Drosophila melanogaster: one gene and its partner. The protein of the gene in region 1 interacts with the protein of each later gene in a pairwise test. Each region holds a gene or a part of one and is shown on either strand. Other genes may lie near its edges.

Region 1 (5,074 bases):
CCATTAACCGGCAATGATTTAACAGAACCGATTGAGTTCAACCTGATGTTTGCCACCCAAATTGGACCCACTGGCTTGGTCAAGGGATTCCTGCGGCCCGAAACTGCCCAGGGTATCTTCGTCAACTTCAAGCGACTGCTGGAATTCAATCAAGGCAAGCTTCCCTTCGCTGTGGCTCAAATTGGCAACTCCTTCCGCAATGAAATCTCACCCCGATCGGGATTGATCCGTGTGCGAGAGTTCACCATGGCAGAGATTGAACATTTCTGTGATCCCGTGCTCAAGGACCATCCCAAATTTGGCAACATCAAATCGGAAAAGTTGACCCTTTACTCGGCGTGCAACCAGATGGATGGAAAGTCTGCCGCTCAGGTGCAAATCGGCGAAGCAGTGGCATCCAAACTGGTGGCTAATGAGACACTTGGTTACTATATGGCCCGCATTCAGCAGTTCCTGTTGGCCATTGGTATCAAACCGGAGTGCTTGCGATTCCGGCAGCACATGTCCAATGAGATGGCTCACTATGCATGCGATTGCTGGGATGCCGAAATTCTTACCTCCTACGGATGGGTGGAGTGCGTAGGATGTGCGGATCGCAGTGCCTACGATTTGGGACAGCATACGGCCGCCACAGGTGTGCGTTTGGTGGCCGAGAAGCGTCTGCCGGCTCCCAAAACGGTCGAGGTCAGCGAGATTGTGCCAAACAAGCAGGCTCTCGGAAAGACCTTCAAGAAGGAGGCAAAGAACATCACGGATGCGTTGGCTAAGCTTTCGCTGGAGGAGATAACCAAGGTAGAGGAACAGCTGGCTGGCGATGGTCAATACAAACTGACCACGGCCGATGGCCAAAGCCACGATCTCGGAAAGGACACCATCAGCGTTAAGCACTCTACGAAAACGGTCCATGTGGAGGAGTTCATCCCGAGTGTGGTTGAGCCTTCATTCGGCATTGGTCGCATCATGTACTCCCTGTTGGAGCACAGTTTCCAATGCCGCGACGGCGACGAGCAGCGGTGCTACTTTACGCTACCGCCTCTGGTGGCGCCCATCAAGTGCTCCATCCTTCCGCTGTCCAACAACACCGACTTTCAACCTTATACTCAGAAACTGTCTTCTGCCCTGACCAAGGCGGAACTTTCGCACAAGGTGGACGACTCCAGTGGATCCATTGGCAGGCGGTATGCCCGCACGGATGAGATTGCCATACCCTATGGCATCACCGTGGACTTCGACACTCTAAAGGAACCGCATACGGTGACTCTGCGAGATCGGAATACTATGAAACAGGTGCGCGTCGGTCTGGAGGAGGTTGTGGGCGTCGTCAAGGACTTGTCGACGGCGAGAACCACCTGGGAGAGTGTCACCGAACAGTATCCTCTGTTCGAACAGCAGGAGGCCAGCAAGTAACTGGTTGATCAAGGAGTTTCTTTCGCTTGGCACGCATTTACAGAGTTTCAAAGTTTTCTTATTTTTGTATAAATAAAATTCAATAATTCAATAATTTCTTATAAAATTCAATAAATATGCAACATTTAATGCTTTGCGCTTTGAAATGGGAGTGTGTTTATCTTCAATATGAATTTGATGTTTATTTTCAAAAAATATTTTTTCTCGGTGAAATTTCTTTTTAAATTATTTAATATAATTTTAAATATGCACATTTAAAGTTGTTTGGATCTATGACAATTCAAATTTACCGGATATTATGATTTATTTACACTTAAAATTGGTAATATAAAACGTGAAATTCCTTTTAAAAACGCAAACTATACACAAAGAGTAAAAATATAAACAAGGGAAAGTAATACGAATTATAGGCCATTTTTTCTTTAGATTTAAATCGCAAGTTTCCAAATAAATATGTAACCAGTCCTCACTGCTATGCTAAAATTACATTTGATTCTTGTTTATTTTTGCGGGAACTCAATTTTAATGCATAGGAAACCGCGCGGTTTTTGTGACGTTTAACAACACACGGTGAGTCACTGGTATTCTCAATGAAATGAGCGGTGGTCATACCATAAATACGTATGAGATATTAAACGAATCCAATTTCTAAAACCACGTGCAGCAAAGGCAAATAAACAATAAATTGTGGCTCGGATTGCCTCAGATTGAGTGTCCACCGCGAATTGAACCGATAACACGATAATCCTCCACATTTGGTGATCCCAAAGATTGACATTCGAGACGAAAGGATGAAATACATCCTGGTAACTGGTGGCGTCATTAGTGGCGTGGGAAAAGGAGTGATTGCCTCCTCGTTCGGAACGCTTTTGAAATCCTGTGGTCTGGATGTAACCTCGATCAAGATTGACCCCTATATCAATATAGATGCTGGAACCTTTTCGCCTTATGAGCATGGTGAGTTTTCAAGAGGTCTTCCCATTATTTTATATGGTGTCTATAGTATGTCTTGCTTTCGACATTCGAAAAATGTCTGGTCTCTTATTTTGGCAATTTTTCAATATTTTGCCCATCTGTGCGAGTGTAAGTGTGCGGCGAGTGTCAGTATGTGCATCTATTGTTGTAAGACTATTGTTGTTGTAAAGCCACGCGTCTGGTTATAACCACATGGTGTGAGGTGACGGAAAAGGAGAGAGCGGTGTGGCGCTCTCCCGCCAAAATAAATAATCTGAGCAAAAACAAACGTTTAATAACAAATAAATAAAGTAACAATACATCACTTACGATATGGGAAAACTTTTCAAATCTATAAAGACAATAATATATAATAATAATTATTCAATAATAAATGTAAAGTGAAACTAAATTTTACGATTTGTTTAATTTGATTTAATACAGGGTGCTTATAAAAAGAATGAGATGGTATCAAAATCGCATTTAAAGTAAATGGTAAAACTGTTTTTCTCAGTGTAAATAAACAAGAGGATGTGTAACAGAGATGCATAGAAAGGCAGTCGTCAGCTGTTTTTCATGCTCTCTATTTCTCTCGCTCTCTGATAACCAGCAACAATTGCACGTGTTCTTGAATCTTTGAGTCGGAAATCGAAAAGAAATTAACGCTTTTTCTGCTGGCAACAGAGATAGCAAGCAATTGCTACCAATGCTCATGCTCTTGTACAATGAAAGTTAGATCTCTCTCACCTTCTTCCTTTCTCTTTCTTAATCCCGCTCTTTGTTTTTGGCTCTCTCATCACAAAATTGCCTCCCCCAACCGGCAGACGTTTTTATTGTTGCTTGACATTGAAAATGAAAGTTTTTTCTGTCCGTTTCACTTGCTCTGCCTTGCTGGTTATTTTCTTATTTTTGTTTTGCTTTCCTTTTTTGCCTCTGTTAGTGGAGAAGGGAAACTTTTCACACAGGCGCACTTCTAATAAATTGAAACTGATCCGAACCCACTGGCGGCTCAATTATAACTGACAAATAGAACTTATTGTTCCTTACTTACATTTAATGATACCGTGTGAGTTGGGAAATTTATTTTATCTCTCTCTTTTTATTTACAATACGAAATTGATTGTACTCTCTTGCACTTTCTCACTGATCCGTTTTACTCACTCTGTACTTCCCCTGGCAAGTTGATGATAGCTACAATAACAACAACGTTTAATAAATAAACGGCAGCAGCGACACACACTTGCAAATTTATTTATACAACGTGCCAATGCAATTACTATGCGTTTATTTGCATGCGTGTGTGTGCGAGTGTGTTTGGGTGGTGGGCGCCTACCACTGTGCGTATGTGTGTGCGACATGTGCCGCAGCGTTGACCTGCAGGATTTGCTTGGCCGCTCTGCGCGTGCGATTAAATACATATGTATTTATGTAGTAACTTAAAGCGAAAGCAAAAAAAAATGTCGGTAGACAACGTTCTATCACAAAAATGGATTTTATAATATATTTAATGATCATTTAATGATCTGCCCGACAGGGGCTTCGGATAGGATGAGATGGGTACGTATGGGTATTGGTCCTCCACAGTACCAGGTCCCATCACATCGAATCGGATCGGATGGGTTTTGATCGGAGAAAAGAGGAACCCGTTTTGCGGCATTTTGATTTATAGGCGACTTATGCACTTGGCAGCCGCGGTGGGAGTGGAACTCGCAGCTGAGATGACACGTCTGACCGAATTCATAAGCGGACATCTGGCCAGGGTGCATTATATATTACACGGTATACATATCATAAGCTAAGCCTCGACGGGCACGGGAATTTCAATATTATATCGTGTACGCTAGGCGCCCTCACAATGCGGGTCAGCTGGAAAGCATTCGTATTGGTTAGTGTTGAGTGTTATAACACAACGTTCGCCTCTAGGCCTACGCATCGGGCACATCAAACAAGCTGGGCGGGCTTTTGTTGACGGCTGCCTGTTGGATCATCCGCTTGGCCTTCTCCAGGGACAGCTTCACCACCTCGATGATCTCGTCGTCCACGCCGCCGCCACCTATTGCCTTGTCCACATCGGTCACCTAGCAGTAGTACATGGTATGCTTGGCATCCGACGAAACAACTCCAAATCTGCAAAGGATTGAGGTGGGAATGCATTAATACATTTTATTGTGGTTAGTTTATGCGTGAACCAAACGGATACTGTTAATATGATTTTCTAGCCAAACATAAAATAACTAGAAGTATTCGTTCATAATTGAAATGCTTGAATAAAACTTAGATACTTGAACATGTAACAAAGTACTCTTAGTTGGACGGTTTATTAGGTTAGGTTAATATTTACACTTTAATTAATATAAAAGCGTATATCTACACAGTTGCTGAACATATAGTTAAAAAAGGTTATTAAGGTTTTTTTTTTTGGTTTAATACCCCTTGAAATGAAATTATTTAAGTTAAAAGTATTTCTACTCACCTTATCAATTATGACTCACTTTGATTGGTGTATATGGGCCCTAGCAACTTCGATGAATGAAATGGGCGGCCAGTTCATCTCCCTCGCGCAACGCACCAACCACCACCGCCCCCGCTAGCCCATTCATCCATAGGGGATTACTGTCTGCCGCCTGTCATTTGCATTTTTGTGCCCAGCTTACACTTTTTGCGGGTCGAAATGCACAAAATGCAATTCTGCTCATTTGTTGTGTCTGTAGTT
Region 2 (3,633 bases), on another chromosome or scaffold:
AATTTATGTGGCTTTGATTTCATTGGCTAGATGTACGGCCCGGGCGAGGGCAATTTATGGTAACTTGATAATTTGTGTTAGCATTTGCCAACAGTTCAAAGGACTCGTGGCTGTAAGCCATTTATTTGCCGGACATGTGGCACTACTACCACTGCCAAGCGTCATTATAATAAGGAAATTGCACTCCAGAGTGGCGATGGGATTACACAGAAAATCTGGGAGTTTCGTAGTTAGGGGTCTGCAAAATGAAATCAAAATAGGAATTATAAAAACCCCTTCCTGGTTGACTTGCACATGCAAGCAGTATGCTTTTCTACGCTTTTCGGCAATCATGTCCATTGTCATGCTCGAAATGTATGAATGCTTGAAAAAATATGATTTACATATCTAGAAGTTCTCTGATAACTTCAATCTATGCAACTGCTCAAGTGGATGATTGGCATGCCCTGTGCGATAATGACGGCAACTGCTCAACTATAAATTCCAGCCCTCAGTCCATTCAGCACTTTCTGCAATTGAAATGCAGTTGCAGCCAGCCGACTCATTCATCAGAAATGTGCACTTAACACATGGCAAAAGCAGCCTCGACTTTCCCGAGGCAGCATTGAGCATTGCCGCCTCATTCTTTGGTAATGCACATAAATCCTTAGAGTGCGCACTTAACTCCTTTTTATGCTGCGACAAAGTACATTTACTAATGACCAAGTCAAACAATGGCCACGGCCAAGACGCAGCGGGCGAAATGCGAGTCCTGGCAGTCCTGGCGGTCCTGTAGGTCCTGCCAGTAGACTGGCGGGAAGTGGGTATGTCGTGACTTCAGCGGGGAGCAGGAGGATTGGCCCACGAAGTAGCAATTTACGCGCTCAAGACGGCGGCAAGCGGCAAGATGGTGACAAAGCATGCAAAACGGAACAGCAGTTGTTGCCCCAAAGTGATGGAGAGGGGGGAGGGAAGGGAAATTGTGAGAAGGCTTGGGAAAATGCAGAGGAAAACTATGGAGGGGGATCTGCACGTGGAGGAGCACTGAGCTCCAAGTGTCGGCAGCGGCTGCATGTTAATTGCTGCAGCGACGACAGCAACAACTGCAAACAGTGGGAAAGCGTGTCTAAATAGCGTAAATTCACACAGACACACACCTTCACGCAGGCAAGGGGAAAATCTAGCTGCGTATTGTGTGTGGAAATTGAAAAGCGAGCTGGAAATCTGCCAGGAAGTGCAGGACATCTTACACACCCTATTTGATATATAAATTATGGCTGATTAGCAGCGGCTGTTGGCATTGTTTTAATTGGTTTACCTGGTGATTAATCTCAAATGGCGAAAGGAACTTTGAAAGTGATTTATTTTTAAGGCAGGTTACAGTATCCTGTACAATTTCATAGACTTGGGTACATTTTTTAGTTGACTATAAACTATTCGTTGCAAGTTCATCAACTGGTTACCGTTTATGTGTAAATCTGATCTGATCTGAAAGTCCTTGGGATTCATAGGGCGATGTGCGGAACACTAGGTGTCACTTGTTAGACTGCTAATCCTCGACAGTGTGCGCTCAACGGGATATCAGGCGGAAAAGGACAAAGAGCGCTGCATACGCACAGGCTGAAAATGCAAATTTTCCCTTTGGCTGGCTGGCAGTTTAAAATGTTGATGAAGTAATTAGTTTAATATGCGAAATGCCCCTGATGGGCGGCGGGAGAGGGCGTGGCACATAGGGAAGTGTAATTGAAAATACTCACAGTTCTGGGCTAAAAGGGACAAGGGCACAGTCGGGGCTTGGGCATTGTGAAACTTTTTCCATTTATTAAATTTGCCACACGAACAGCGCAGCGGATTCTGCCAAGGGAACTCTATGTGGGAAATGTTTAATTATTTGTGCGCACATGAAATTAAAGCTGTTACAAATTGTTACAAACCATTCCGGCTATCAGTTTCTCAAACAAATTTCAATTAAGATAAGACTTTTTCACGAGTTTCGAAAATTAGAAGGAATATTTTTTGTGCTCAGCTACTTTCATTCGAAATTGAATATGAGAACAACTCTGCTTCTTCAGGCCCAGCAAAAGTTTTGCCTTTTGAGCCAAAGTTGGCAGTTTGTTGTCAGTAATGTATTTTGCTCGAACTTATTCAAAATATTATACATTTTGATTTACACGAAATCACAGTTTTCTTGCCATTCAGCAGCTTTTCAGTTTTAGTTTTTTGAGTTTCGCGCGGAATGAATCTGATTAACTTTAATCATTACCAGGACTATGTAGACAGCTTCATAACCATCCAGGACACTCGCTATTTGGGCAACAAAGAGATCCAGAGGAACCTGATCCAGAATGCCTGCGGTAAGAATTGCCTGGGTAATCTGCTCACCCGCGAGCAATTCTACCAGCGGAAGGAGAAAGAGTTGGTGCTTCTAAAGCCAAGGGGACTACGAGGACTCCAACTTTTTGGAGACTACTTGAACAACAAAGATGAGGTGCTCCAACAGTTTGCCAATCGAGAGAAGAAGCTGCTCGAAAAGCAAATTTCGGTTAGAAGGTTACATTTATGTGTAGTGAAATGTGTACATTTTGTAATTTTTAGACCGTCGTCTACCTGGTGATGCGTTCGAAGAAGGGTCTAGAGATCTCCAGCTTTCTGGACCTGGAGCAGAGTCTGCGCGAGTCGCGATTCGAGAACTCTACAAGCTGCGTAGACTGGCGGGCCATTTTCGAGGGCAGAACGAAGCTGAGGCCATCGAATCTGCATCTCAGCTACTTCGACTGGCACCAGAATCGTGTGTCCTTCAACAACAGCGACAATTTCCGGGTGTTGAACAAGAGGCCCCACAGTCTGCTGCTAAAGCATGTTGGCGATCACAAAATATTCTGTGTGAACGCCTCCTGCGATTGCGAGCACTCGAAAAATGTCAGCCGCAAAACGTATTTCTCGCCCATTTATGGATATGTCATATTCTTCGACCACATAATCAGGCGCATTAATTAGCGACGGCTTTAAAGTGTCAATGAACGTAATCGTCGTTAAATGAAATGTGCAAATAAATCGAAACGAGGGCGCATTTGTCGCTGACAGCTAACGTAAATTGCTTTTCATATCTTATCAGTACAGTTCTGGTCGCAGTTTTTGATGGACGTTTCGAGGTCCTTCCGCCCGGCGAGTCCTCCGTCCATCAGGCGGCGGAAATTACCCGAGCTTTATGCCACTTTGTTGAGTTTATCGCAGTCAGGGAACATCAATTGCATAAATCTATTAACTGTCGCCCGGCGGAATGGGGGCGTGGTTGAGCCTTCAACTTGACCAATATGTTTCTGTTTGCGCATTTGCCATTGTTTGCCAACTTGCTTGTGTGGGTCAGCTTATGACGCTTTGTTAATTCTCCCAACAGTGTGTCTGTTTAATTGGCCTTTCCACTCATGCAAATCAACTTGGCCAAAATTTACACAAGGCTGAAAGGAGAATTTGCTACGGCTTACACATTGGTGGTTAATGAGTTGAAAATATTAGTAGTCAGTCTTAATAAAAATTATATGAATACAATTAAATCCACTCTGTTGCCCAGATACCATGTTTTTGGAGAAGCAAATTCAAATAAATATTAAATACGCCTAAATTATGATTTAAGTGCCACATGCAGAGGCAGTG

The links.
Region 2: the proteins of Ctps (region 1) and CG3528 interact in a two-hybrid assay, tested with the Drosophila melanogaster proteins (one large-scale study listed by BioGRID).

Annotation. Positions count from the first base shown.
Region 1 is NT_037436.4:15,096,153-15,101,226, forward strand, and holds the start of Ctps (CTP synthase), read left to right. Parts: upstream 1-1,761; 5' UTR 1,762-2,198; coding exon 2,199-2,364; intron 2,365-2,381; exon of another isoform or gene 2,382-2,635; intron 2,636-2,691; exon of another isoform or gene 2,692-2,713; intron 2,714-3,108; exon of another isoform or gene 3,109-3,350; intron 3,351-3,901; exon of another isoform or gene 3,902-4,488; intron 4,489-4,834; exon of another isoform or gene 4,835-5,074. Other genes in the region: GlyRS (Glycyl-tRNA synthetase), read left to right, coding at 1-1,407. UniProt on the Drosophila melanogaster protein: Catalyzes the ATP-dependent amination of UTP to CTP with either L-glutamine or ammonia as the source of nitrogen. Constitutes the rate-limiting enzyme in the synthesis of cytosine nucleotides.
Region 2 is NT_033779.5:2,516,539-2,520,171, reverse strand, and holds CG3528 (uncharacterized protein), read left to right. Parts: upstream 1-2,134; 5' UTR 2,135-2,215; coding exon 2,216-2,521; intron 2,522-2,574; coding exon 2,575-2,976; 3' UTR 2,977-3,070; downstream 3,071-3,633.